2 linked regions of the Caenorhabditis elegans genome follow. The protein of the gene in region 1 purifies or fractionates together with the protein of each later gene. This does not show direct contact. Each region holds a gene or a part of one and is shown on either strand. Other genes may lie near its edges.

The links. Proteins that work in one complex are often made in the same cells at the same time.
Region 2: the proteins of teg-1 (region 1) and uaf-1 purify together in Caenorhabditis elegans (affinity purification with western blotting; one study listed by BioGRID). This does not show direct contact.

What each region holds. Positions count from the first base shown.
Region 1 is NC_003281.10:11,311,708-11,318,963, reverse strand, and holds teg-1 (GYF domain-containing protein), read left to right. Parts: upstream 1-1,908; 5' UTR 1,909-1,915; coding exon 1,916-2,053; intron 2,054-2,153; coding exon 2,154-2,459; intron 2,460-3,862; coding exon 3,863-4,135; intron 4,136-5,020; coding exon 5,021-5,230; intron 5,231-6,132; coding exon 6,133-6,267; 3' UTR 6,268-6,735; downstream 6,736-7,256. Other genes in the region: mcm-10 (Protein MCM10 homolog), read right to left, coding at 612-893, 1,033-1,129, 1,192-1,394.
Region 2 is NC_003281.10:1,073,553-1,078,285, reverse strand, and holds the start of uaf-1 (Splicing factor U2AF 65 kDa subunit), read left to right. Parts: upstream 1-1,730; coding exon 1,731-1,960; intron 1,961-3,810; coding exon 3,811-4,106; intron 4,107-4,733. UniProt on the Caenorhabditis elegans protein: Necessary for the splicing of pre-mRNA. Binds to the polypyrimidine tract of introns early during spliceosome assembly.

The sequences.
Region 1 (7,256 bases):
TGTAATTTTTTTGGAACTTTCATCGATTTTTACATAGTTTTCTGTTAATTAATGAAAAAAATCCCAAAAAGTTTGAAACTACAGTACTATTTAAAGGCGCACATCTTTTCGCATTTAACAAAAATTTGTCGTGTCGAGACCGTAGTTTTGGAGCAAAAATCGAAAAGTCGGAGAAAAAAATTTCAAAAATAGGATTTTCTTAAATTTTCAAAAAGCAAAAAAAAAATTGAATTTTGATTTTTTTTTTTTCGGAAATTAAAAAAAAAATTTTTTTCACTAAAAAATCAGTTTTTTTGTCAATTTTTCGAATTTTCTTTCAATTTTATAAATGAAAAAATCCCAAAAAGTTTGAAACTACAGTACTATTTAAAGGCGCACACCTTTTCGCATTTAACAGAAGTTTGTCGTGTCGAGACCGTAGTTTTGGAGCAAAAATCGAGAAATCCGACGAAAAATTTTAAAAGTAGGAATTTTTTAAAAACGAATTTGTAAGTTTTAGAACTATGAATTTTTTCTAAAAAATTTAATTAAACACCTAAAAAAAAATTTTTTTTTCGATGTTTTTTTTCTGAATTTTCCGAATTTTCTATTCATTTTTCCGTTCTAAAAACCTTTAAATCATGTAATTTCCAAATCAAAAAATCATTTCCATTTGCACTTTTCTTCTTGAAACCCTTTTCCACAATAACACCAATCGTGCACCATGCTTCTTTGAAATTTGACGTTGGTTTCAGATTTGATAGCTTTTCAAGCTTCATTCCAGCAGTAAATGCTCCAAAACTTGTCGCCGAAATTTTCGGATTCCGAATCGATATTTGAAATTTGTCGAATCTCACAATTCCGACGGTTACTGTGTCGGTGGATGGTTTCGTGAGCCCGGTGAGCACTGATTTCTGAAAAAAAATTTTTTTTTGGTTTTGGCGTTATTTTTTTTTTGATAAATTGTAGTTGTAATTGTTATGATTTTAAAAAATCCAAAAAAATTAAAAAATTTTGGGTTTTTCCAGATTTTTCTTCGACTTTCCACCATACTTTATTAGTTTTCCAAGCATCTGTGGCCTTTGGCCCACTCGTTGAGCTATTCTTCTCCAGATGCCGCTTTAAAAGAGCTCCTTGCTCCGTGAGCTCTCTGAAAGAAGAAAAAATTGGAGAAAATTTTGCATTTTTCGAGAAATTCGAGCTTTTCCCTACCGTTTTTTCACATAAAGCTCCTCATCATCACTATCATCATCTTCATATCGATTTTTCGAGCTAGAATCGCTGGGTTTCTCACTAGAACCTTGATTTTCGCAGGCTTCTTCCATGTTCAGAAGCCGCGGGGCTCGGTTTACAGGCTTTAGCTCCTCTTCTTCGACTCCCTCGAGCTGTGTGAGTAGGTCATCTAGGGGATCCATCTGAAAATTGAACAATTTGTGGAAAATTTCAGCGAAAATGACGGAAAATGAGAGAAAATCTGGGGAAAATCGGTGAAAAATAAATAAATAAATTTAATTTTTAAATTTTCAATTCCCGCTACCTGGAGACACTGGAAAAGTAGTCCCGGAGAAGTAGAAATTCCAGAAAAATAGGCGTGGTTTTGATTTTTTGCTGTGAATTTCACATTTAATTGATTTATAGATCAAAATCAATTTTTTCTGCACATTTAACATTGCAATAACAAAAATTCGCTTCAAATTTTAAGCCCAATGCGGCAATTCTCTGTCCTCCAAAACACCCTCCATAGCGCCCAACTCCGCAAACACCGTCACGCAAAACTGCACACAATCAAATGTTTTCGCCGAAAAATCGGTTTTCTTTTTTTCTCTCATTTTCCGCGCATAATCCCAACTTTTATTTGATTTTCGACAATTTTCCATCACCGAATGACTCAATTTTTCGCAAAAATTACGAAATTTCACTCATTTTCAGCCAAAAAATGCCGAAACGCGCCGTTTCTTTCGCCGACGACATCGAAACGAGAGTTTTTAAGCGGGATAAACGAGAAATTGAAGATGGAATATTGGATATTCCAATGGAAGAAGATGTGGTGAAGGAGAGACCAGGAAATGCGGATGTAAGTGGCTTTTTTTGCGAAAAAACCCGGGAAAAATCGAAAAAAATCGATATTTTTCAAAAAAAAATCGAAAAAATTTATTTTTTTGATATTTTTCCAGGAAGACGAAGAGGAAAAAAAGAAATTCCACACATTAGAGTCAGATGAAGAAGAAGAAGAGGATCACAAACGTCTAGATACCCGAAGAGTTGAAGGTCAAGAGGATTGTGGTGTGGATTTTGATGGATCTATTAAAATTACGGCTTTCAATATGAAAGAGGACGAGGAAGAGGGTCATTTCGATGAAACTGGAAACTTTATTTTCGATAAAAAGACAAAAGATGTTCAAGACGCGTGGTTGGATGGTATTGATTGGAGTTTAGTGAAGAAAAAGGCCGGAGATCAGTGGGAGGGCGATGAGGACAAGGTTCGACACGGGAAATGGAGGAAAAATCGAAGAAAAAATCTGATTTTTACGCGGAAATTGCCGAAAAATCGATTTAAACCTGAATTTTTCATTTTTAAATTTGAAAAATACGGTTTTACGCACTAAAATCGGAGGAAAATCGATCTCAGCCTGGATTTTGCGCCCTAAAATTGATAAAAGCTGGAAAAATCGATTTAAAAATAGTTTTTCTGGTTAAAAATTGAAAAAACCGAATTTTTGCACTGAAAATGGCTGGAAAATCGATTTTTACCTGACTTTTTTGCTTTAAAACTGACTGAAAACAACGGATTTTTGAGCTGAATTGGCGGAAAAATCGGTTTAAAAGTCGATTAAAAAACAAAATTTCCGAAAAAAAAAACAGGATTTTTGCATTAAAAATGGCTGGAAAATCGATTTTCACTTGTATTGTTCAAAAAAATCCTGAATGCTTGAAATTCAGAGAAATATTGCAAAATTTCGCGGAAAACTTGATAAAATCCTCCAAATTGACGAGAATTCTCGGAAAATGTAGCAGAATTTTAAAAATCCGAAGAAAATTCCAAATTTTTCACGATTTTTCGATTAAAAAAGTTTCAAAATGTGTCAGGGGTGGGCGGCATACGATTTTTTCCGGCAAATCGGCAAATTGCGGGAATCGAAAACTTCCGGCAAATTGTCGGAAATAAAAATTTCTGGCAAATTGGCAATTTGGCGGAAATAAAAATTTCTGGCAAATTGCCGGAATTGCCGGAATTGAAAACCCGGCAAATTGGCAATTTGGCGGAAATAAAAATTTCCGGCAAATCGGCAAACTGTCGGAAATAAAAATTTCCGGCAAATTGCCGGAATTGAAAACCCGGGAAATTGGCAATTTGGCGGAAAAAAAATTTCTGGCAAATTGCCGGAATTGCCGGAATTGAAAACCCGGCAAATTGGCAATTTGGCGGAAAAAAAAATTTCTGGCAAATTGCCGGAATTGCCGGAATTGAAAACCCGGCAAATTGGCAATTTGGCGGAAAAAAAAAATTTCTGGCAAATTGCCGGAATTGCCGGAATTGAAAACCCGGGATATTGGCAATTTGGCGGAAAAAAAATTTCCGGCAAATCGGCAAACTGTCGGAAATAAAAATTTCCGGCAAATTGGCAGATTGTCGGAATAAAAATTTCCTGCAAATTGGCTAATTGGCGGAAATAAAAATTTCTGGCAAATTGCCGGAATTGCCGGAATTGAAAACCTGGGAAATTGGTAAATTGGCGGAAATAAAATTTCTGGCAAATTGCCGGATTTGCCGGAATTGAAAACCCGGTAAATTGGCAATTTGGCGGAAATAAAAATTTCCGGTAAACCGACAATTGCCGCCCACCCCCCTGATTTCAATATAAAAATTCCTCAAAATTTCCAGAAATCCTTGGAAGACGAAGAGCCGGAGCCAATTACAATGAGTGATGCACGAAAAAAAGAAATTTTCGAGCAACTTGTCAACCTCCTGAAACCCAATCAAACAGTGGCTAAAGCTCTTTCAGAGCTCAAAAAGAAGAAAGGATTAAGTGCTGCTGAAGAACGGAAACTTCGTTGGGCCGCCAAAAAAGCCGGAAAATCATTTGAGCCAACTGATGGGCAGAAGGAAACTTCACAGCTCTCTGGGCTCGCTGATGAACTCATTTCTGCTGGAATTGTTCGTTTTTCACAGCTTAAAGTTCCAGAAAATTCATGCTACGCTCAATTTTTTGAAACGAAATTCATAAAAAACCCGCGCGAATGTCGAAAAAATTGCCAATTTTTAGCCAAAAATCGAAAAAAATTCAATTTTTGCAAGATTTAGACCGGTTTTAATTTAATTCGTTTGTGAAAAATGCGATTTTTTCACAAAATTCGCGCTGAAAAAAACTGGCAGAGTGCAGATTTGCCGAAATTATTCAAATCCGGCAAAGTGCCGTTTTGCCGGAAATGTTCATTTTTGGGAAATTGCAGATTTGCCCAAATTATTCAAATCCGGCAAAGTGCAGATTTGCCGGAAATGTTAATTTTTGGGAAATTGCAGATTTGCCCAAATTATTCAAATCCGGCAAAGTGCAGATTTGCCGAATATATTCAAATCCGGCAAATTGCCGGTTTGCCGAAAATATTACAATCCGGCAAACTGCAGATTTGCCGAAAATATTCAAATCCGGCAATTTACCGATTTGCCGAAAATATTACAATCCGGCAAATTGGCGATTTGCCGAAAATATTTTTCTTTAACCCGAAAATTTAGATTATTTTTCTTTTAGATCAATTTCTTCCGGTGTTTTGATGAAAAATGACAATTTTCAGCTAAAATCTGAAAAAATTCGGATTTTTCCAATTTAAAATACTTTTTTTTTTCAGTGAAAAACGTAAAAATAGCGCGCATTTTCATTGCGAAAACCTATATTTTTTCACAAAATTTTGGTGAAAAACATCAAAAATAGCGAAAAATGAGCATTTTTGTTAAAAAAGTTAAAAAATTTCGATAAAAAATATGAAAAATTCCAAATTTTGGCCAAAAAACTCAAAAAAAAAATCAGAATTTTAATTCCAGATGGACGCCTACGAATGGCATCGTGAGAAATTCAATTTCCAATTGCAAAAAATGATAAGTACAGCCGCTGATGAGTTGGATATGTTCTCTGATGAGCCAACTTCAACTGGAGCAGCAAGAGCAGCAGGAGCTCCAATGGAGCAAGAAGAAGAAGAAGCAGATGATAGTGTTAAATGGGAATATAAGGCTAATGAAGAGGCGAAAATTGAGGTAGAATAGTGGGAAATTCTACGACAAATTTGATATTTGAAAAGAAAATACTGGAAAAAATCCCAATTTTTACTGATTTCAGAGGAAAAAAAATAATTTTTTCAGTGAAACAAACTAGAATTAGCCAATTTTCTGCAATTTTGAGCAAGAAAATTGCAGAAAATATGGAAAAATCTACACATTTTCATATTTTTAAAGTAAGAAAATTACCAAAAAAAAAAAAAAAAAAAGTAAAAAAAAGAATTTTTTTGAATAAAAATCGGATAAACTTGGTTTTTGAACTTAAACATATTTATTCGGAAAATTCTCGAAAATTTTCAATTTTATTGCATTTTTAGAAGAAAAACATTAAAAATTATCTGAAAATTCACAATTCAGTCAAGACAAAGTCAAAATGCCTGAATTTTTGGTAATTTTGAGTTGAAAAATTGTTGAAAAATTGTCGGAAATTCTCGATTTTATACCGAAAAATCCTAATTTTTCAGCGAAAAAACGGACGATTTTGGCGAAATTCGTGTTAACAAAATAGTTTTTTTTTTTTTAAATGAAGAATTGATTTTTTTAAACCAATTTTTTGGGATATAATCAGAATAGCCTATTTTTAGCAAAAACTTTGAACATTTCCATGAAAATTTGGTGAAAAATGTCAAAAATAGCCAATTTTTATCCAGAAATCGAAAAAATTCAATTTTTGTTAGGTTTAGACCCGTTTTAATCGAAATAGTTTTTTCTTATTAAAATTCACGCTGAAAAATCCGGCAAATCGCCGGTTTGCCGAAAATGTGTTCGAAAAATAAATTAAAATATGTCAAAAAAATTTCAAAAATTTTTTTTTGAAAATTCTGAAATTTTTTTTAATGAAAAAAAGTCTCAAAAAAAGTAAAAATTTTTTCCAATTCCAGGGCCCGATTCCGACTTCAGAAATGATGGATCGCCAATCAAAAGGACTTCTTTCGGCAGAAGGTGTTGCCAGACGTTCTGGAACAAATGGACATTTTAATCCAGTTGCCAGAATTGATTTCGAGCTTTATTTGTAAAAACTCTCCTAAAAAACCTCTCCTCCTCCTCCCCTGAATTTTAGCAATTATATGATTCATATTTCATTTTTTTTTGTTTCATTTTCATTTTTTCCCCCATTTTTTTTTGTTTCTCTGAATCTCGTTTTCACTCTCTATCTCTCTCTCATCACTTAGAACACACATTCATTTCTCTCACTTTTTCCGCCTGAAAACAGCTGAAAAAAAGTCGGAAAAATGATTCGGTGCCGAAAACTTTTCAAATACCGAAAACTCGCTATTCAACATGATATTTATCACAGTTCCGATGACATTTCTCGAGGTTTTTTCAATTTTTTTTTGTAAATTAAATTTTTTTTTTCCCGTTTTTTTTTTGCCCTTTTTGGTCCTAAAATTGCATTTTTTTTCAAGTTTTTAACTTGAAAATTCATTTTTTTGGCCTATTTTCGCCCCTAAAACTGCACTGTATTATATAAAATCCCCAATTTTTTCCTTTTTTAAAAAAGCTTTTTTTTTTAAGATTTTACGGTTCCAAAAGCCGCTAAGTTTCTGCTGAATTTTCTGGGAAATTTCTAGATTTTACATTAAAAAACAAATTTTTTTTAAAATTCTAAATTTTAAACTTCGCTAAATTTCTAAATTTTGGTGTAAAAAATTAGAAGACAAATTTTTTTTTAACCGGTCATTTTCCGAAAATGAAACCTCTGGTAATTTGCCGGTTTGAATATTTCCGGCAAATCGATAAATTGCCGGATTTTAATATTTCCGGCAAATCGATAAATTGCCGGATTTTAGTATTTCCGGCAAATCTACAGTTTGCCGGTTTGAATATTTTCGGCAAATCTGCAACTTGCCGGATTTGAATATTTCCGGCAAATCGATAAATTGCCGGATTTTAATATTTCCGGCAAATCTGCAATTTGCCGGATTTGAATATTTCCGGCAAATCGGTAAATTGCCGGAAAATCCAGTTTTTTGCCGGAATTGAAAATATTTTTTAAAAAATTTTC
Region 2 (4,733 bases), about 10 Mb from region 1:
TGTAAAATTCGTCCATTTTCCCCGCTAAATTGTACAAAAAACCACCCGAAAATCCCCCAATTTCACATAATTCTTGTCAAATTTCACACATTTTCAGTGCCTTTAAGCCCCGTTTTTTTGCTATAAAATTGCAACATTTTTCCTGTAATTTATTGGATTTTTGTGTTATTTTTTCTCTCGTTTTCAGCGATTTTCAGCATATCTTCATCGATTTTTTGCAGATTTTCAGCTATTTTTTTATCGATTTTTTTGGGAGATTTTTGTCATTTTTCACCTAATTTTATTGATTTTCAGCCTAATTTTGTGTGTGCTTTTACCCATTTTTCTATTATTTCCATCATTTTCCCCGAAATTTTATAGATTCTACCTATTTTTCAGCAAAATCTCATTTTTCAGCGATTTTTCATCATTTAAGCTATTTTTTATCGATTTTCACCGAATTTTCAGCTATTTTATCAGAAAAATCTCAGTTTTTTCCGGCAAATTCACTCAAATTTCGCCTATTTTAGCGAGGAGCTCTTTTTTCCAGCATTTTCACCGAATTTTCTTTTTTTTTCGTAAAAAAATCACCAAATTTCCTCATTTCCAACCTATTTTCTCCATTTTTTCGCGGTTTTTCCCGAATTTTAAACAATTTTTCGCCAAAAAACCCCAAATTTCTTCATTTCCAACCTTTTTATTCCATATTTTCGCCATTTTCTCGGGATTTTCAGCTATTTTTTCCAGAAAAACTCCTATTTTTTCGGCAAATTCACTCAAATACCGTTTATTTTCTCACAATTTATCGTTTTGGAGCTATTTTTCCAGCATTTTCACCGAATTTTAAGCAATTTTTTAAAAAATCACCAAATTTCCTCATTTTCGTCCAATTTTCTCCATTTTTTCGCGATTTTGAGCAATTTTTTCCAGAAAAACTCCAAATTTTCTCACTTTCACCCTATTTTTTTCCATATTTTCGCCATTTTGTCGGGTTTTTCAGCTATTTTTTCAGAAAAACCTCCATTTTTTCGCGATTTCCACCGAATTTTCAACGATTTTTCCAAAAAATCGCCAAATTTCCTCATTTTCGCCCAATTGTCTCCATTTTTCCGCGGTTTTCCCCTGATTTTCGGCTATTTTTTTTTTCAGAGAAACTCATTTTTTCGCGATTTCCACCGAATTTTCAGCTATTTTTCCATTAAAAAAACCCATTTTTTCGTGAATTTCTCCGAATTTTCGGTTTTTTTTTTCAGAAAATTCGGAAAAATTGGAATTTTTCACTGAAAACTCTGAAAAATTCAATAAAAATTGGATATTTTTACTAAAAACTCGGGAAAATTCGTGAAAATTGCCGTTTTTCACGTGAAAATTCGAGAAAAATTGAAAAATGTGGAATTAGTATCCAAAAATGCTCTCGGAGCCCAAAATTCAGGAAAATCCTGAAAAAATTAACCAATTTTACTCAGAAAACTGCAAAATTTTTTTTTCAGTTTTTCTCGCAAAAATGTGCTAAACTCTCAGATTAAAATTCAATTTTCCGTGGCAAATGTGCTCTATCGGTGATTTTGGTGTGAAAATTCCAAACTTTTGCATTAGAAATTACAAAATTTTGGAATTTTCCACCCGAAATTGCTCACAGGAGCACATTTGACCACTTTCCCGGGGAACCTCTGCCCAAATTTTCAAATTTTTCCATCCATTTTCTCCGGATTTTCAGCTCTATTTTTTAAAGAAAATTCCCAATTTTCCAGATGAGTGATCACCAGGATGGCATGAAACTTGAAGATATTGAACGCCAATTTTTGGACGTTGCTCAACGTGAAGGAGGTCTCGAAGCGATTCAGCCGACCACTGGACCACTGGAAAATGAAGAAAATCTGAAATCATCGACTGGTGGTGGTGGTGGAGAGGATGATAATGATCGGAAAAAGAGAAAACGATCGAGAAGTAGAGATCGCGATACGAGAAGACGCTCGAGAAGGTGCTTAAGCTGGAAAAAATTGCATTTTTTGACGGAATATTCGAGAATTTTCGTGGAAAACTCGGCGAAAATCGAGTTTTCCGCTAGAAAATTGACCCAAAATCGGATTTTTAGGAGGAAATTTTGTTTTTTTTTGGCCAGAATTACGCTGAAAATCGCTTTTTGCATGAAAAACGGCTTAAAAATGACTTCAAACCCAGAAAATCAACATTTTTAGAGCAAAAATTCGAGGATTTTCGTCGAAAACTCTGCGAAAATCGAGTTTTCCGCTAGAAAATGGTCTAAATTTGAAGAAAATTGACCCAAAATCGGATTTTCAGAGCGAAATTTGATGATTTTCCATGAAAAACACTACCGAAAATCCCATTTTTCCTGCCAAAAAACTCTTTAAAAAATCGATTTTTGCTTGAAGAAATCCACCAAAATTTTCATTTTCTTTGCCAAAAATCTATGAAAAATCGATTTTTTCACAGGAAAAGCGGAAAAGATGCAATTTTAGCTGAAAATCCACCGAAAATTCGCATTTTTTACTTTGAAAAATCGCAAAAAATCGATTTTTCCTTCCAAAAACCTCCAAAAAATTGCAATTTTAGCTGAATTTCCACGGAAAAGTCAAATTTTCTGTCCAAAAGTTTGCAAAAATTCGATTTTCAGTTGGAAAATTGCGTTTTTTGGTCAAATTCCACCGAAAATTCCCATTTTTTAACCTAAAAAGTTGTAAAATATCGATTTTTCCTGCCGAAAACCCCGAAATTTTCAGTCGTGGAAGCGAGAAATCGCAATTTTAGCTAAATTTCCCACGAAAATTCCCATTTTTTTAACCTAAAAAGTAACGATAAAATCCATTTTCCTGTTCAAAAACTCGCCAAAAATAGATTTTTTAATTAAATTCCACCAAAAAAATTCGCATTTTTCCGCCCAAAAACCTCCAAAAAGTCCCAATTTTAGCTGAATTTCCATTGAAAAGTCTAATTTTCTGTCCAAAAAACCGCAAAAAATCGATTTTCCAGTGGAAAATTGCGTTCTTTGGTCAAATTTTACCTAAAAATTTTGAATTTTTACAATAAAAAGTGGCGGTTTTTACTCAAATTGTACTGAAAAACGCAATAAGAATGGTTTTTCTGTCCAAAAATTTGCGAAAAATCCATCTTTCCGCCCAAAAACCTTCAAAAAATCGCAATTTTAGCTGAGTTTCCACGGAAAAGTCAAATTTTCTGTCCAAAAGTTGGCGAAAAATCGAATTTCCAGTGGAAAATTGCGAAAATTTACATTTTTAACTTAAAAAATCGATTTTTCCTTCCAAAAACCTGCGCGAATCTGACAAAAATTGCAATTTTTCTGCATGAAAACTCATTTTTCTAGCCAAAAAAGTGCGCAAAAATCGATTTTTCCCCTGGAAAATTGCGATTTTAGCTGAAAATCACTGAAAATCCGCATTTTTTAACCTAAAAAATCGCAAAAAATCGATTTTTCCCGCCAAAAACCTGCGAAGCTGCCAAAAATTGCAATTTTTCTGCATGAAAACTCATTTTTCTAGCCAAAAAATCGCGAGAAAATCGATTTTTCCCGCCAAAAACCTGCGAAACTGCCAAAAATTGCAATTTTTCTGCATGAAAACTCATTTTTCTAGCCAAAAAATCGCGAAAAAATCGATTTTTCCCGCCAAAAACCTGCGAAACTGCCAAAAATTGCAATTTTTCTAGCCAAAAAATTGCAAAAAAAATCGATTTTTACACTGGAAAATTGCGATTTTAGCTGAAAGTCACTGAAAATCCGCATTTTTTAACCTAAAAAATCGCAAAAAAATCGATTTTTCCCGGCAAAAAACCCCAAAAACCCCCCATTTTCAGTCGTGATCGTGGAGAACGTCGTGGTGGTGGAGGTGGAGGTGATCGTGATCGTTCTCGATCCCGTGAACGTCGTCGAGGCGGTGGTGGTCGTGATGAGCCGAGACGTCGTGGAGGTGATGATGAAGCCCGTTCGCGCCGTGAGCCGGAGCCCCAGAAGCCTCGTGAGCCCAAAAAGTACCGATTCTGGGATGTTCCGCCGACTGGATTCGAGACAACTACACCGATGGAGTACAAGAATATGCAGGCGGCTGGACAGGTTCCACGTGGATCTGTACAGTCTGCAGTGCCCGTTGTTGGTACGGAAAAATGGAATTTTTCGCCTGACAATTCGGAAAAATTCGAGAAAATTGGCGGTTTTTGCCTGAAAATTCGGAAAAATTCGAGAAAATTGGCAGTTTTCACTGAAAATTCGGAAAAATTCGAGAAAATTGGCAGTTTTCACTGAAAATTCGGAAAAATTCGAGAAAATTGGCAGTTTTCACTGAAAATTCGGAAAAATTCGAGAAAATTGGCAGTTTTCACTGAAAATTCGGAAAAATTCGAGAAAATTGGCAGTTTTTGCCTGAAAATTCGGAAAAATTCGAGAAAATTGGCAGTTTTCACTGAAAATTCGGAAAAATTCGAGAAAATTGGCAGTTTTCACTGAAAATTCGAGAAAATTCGATTTTTTCACTGAAAATTCGGAAAAATTCGAATTTTTCATCGAAAATTCGGAAAAATTCGAATTTTTCATCGAAAATTCAATAAAAATTGGATATTTTTACTAAAAACTCGGGAAAATTCGTGAAAATTGCCGTTTTTCACGTGAAAATTCGGGAAAATTTGAATTTTTCACTGAAAAATCGGAAAAATTGGATTTTTTACTGAAAATTCGGAAAAATTGGATTTTTTCACTGAAAACTCTGAAAAATTCAATAAAAATT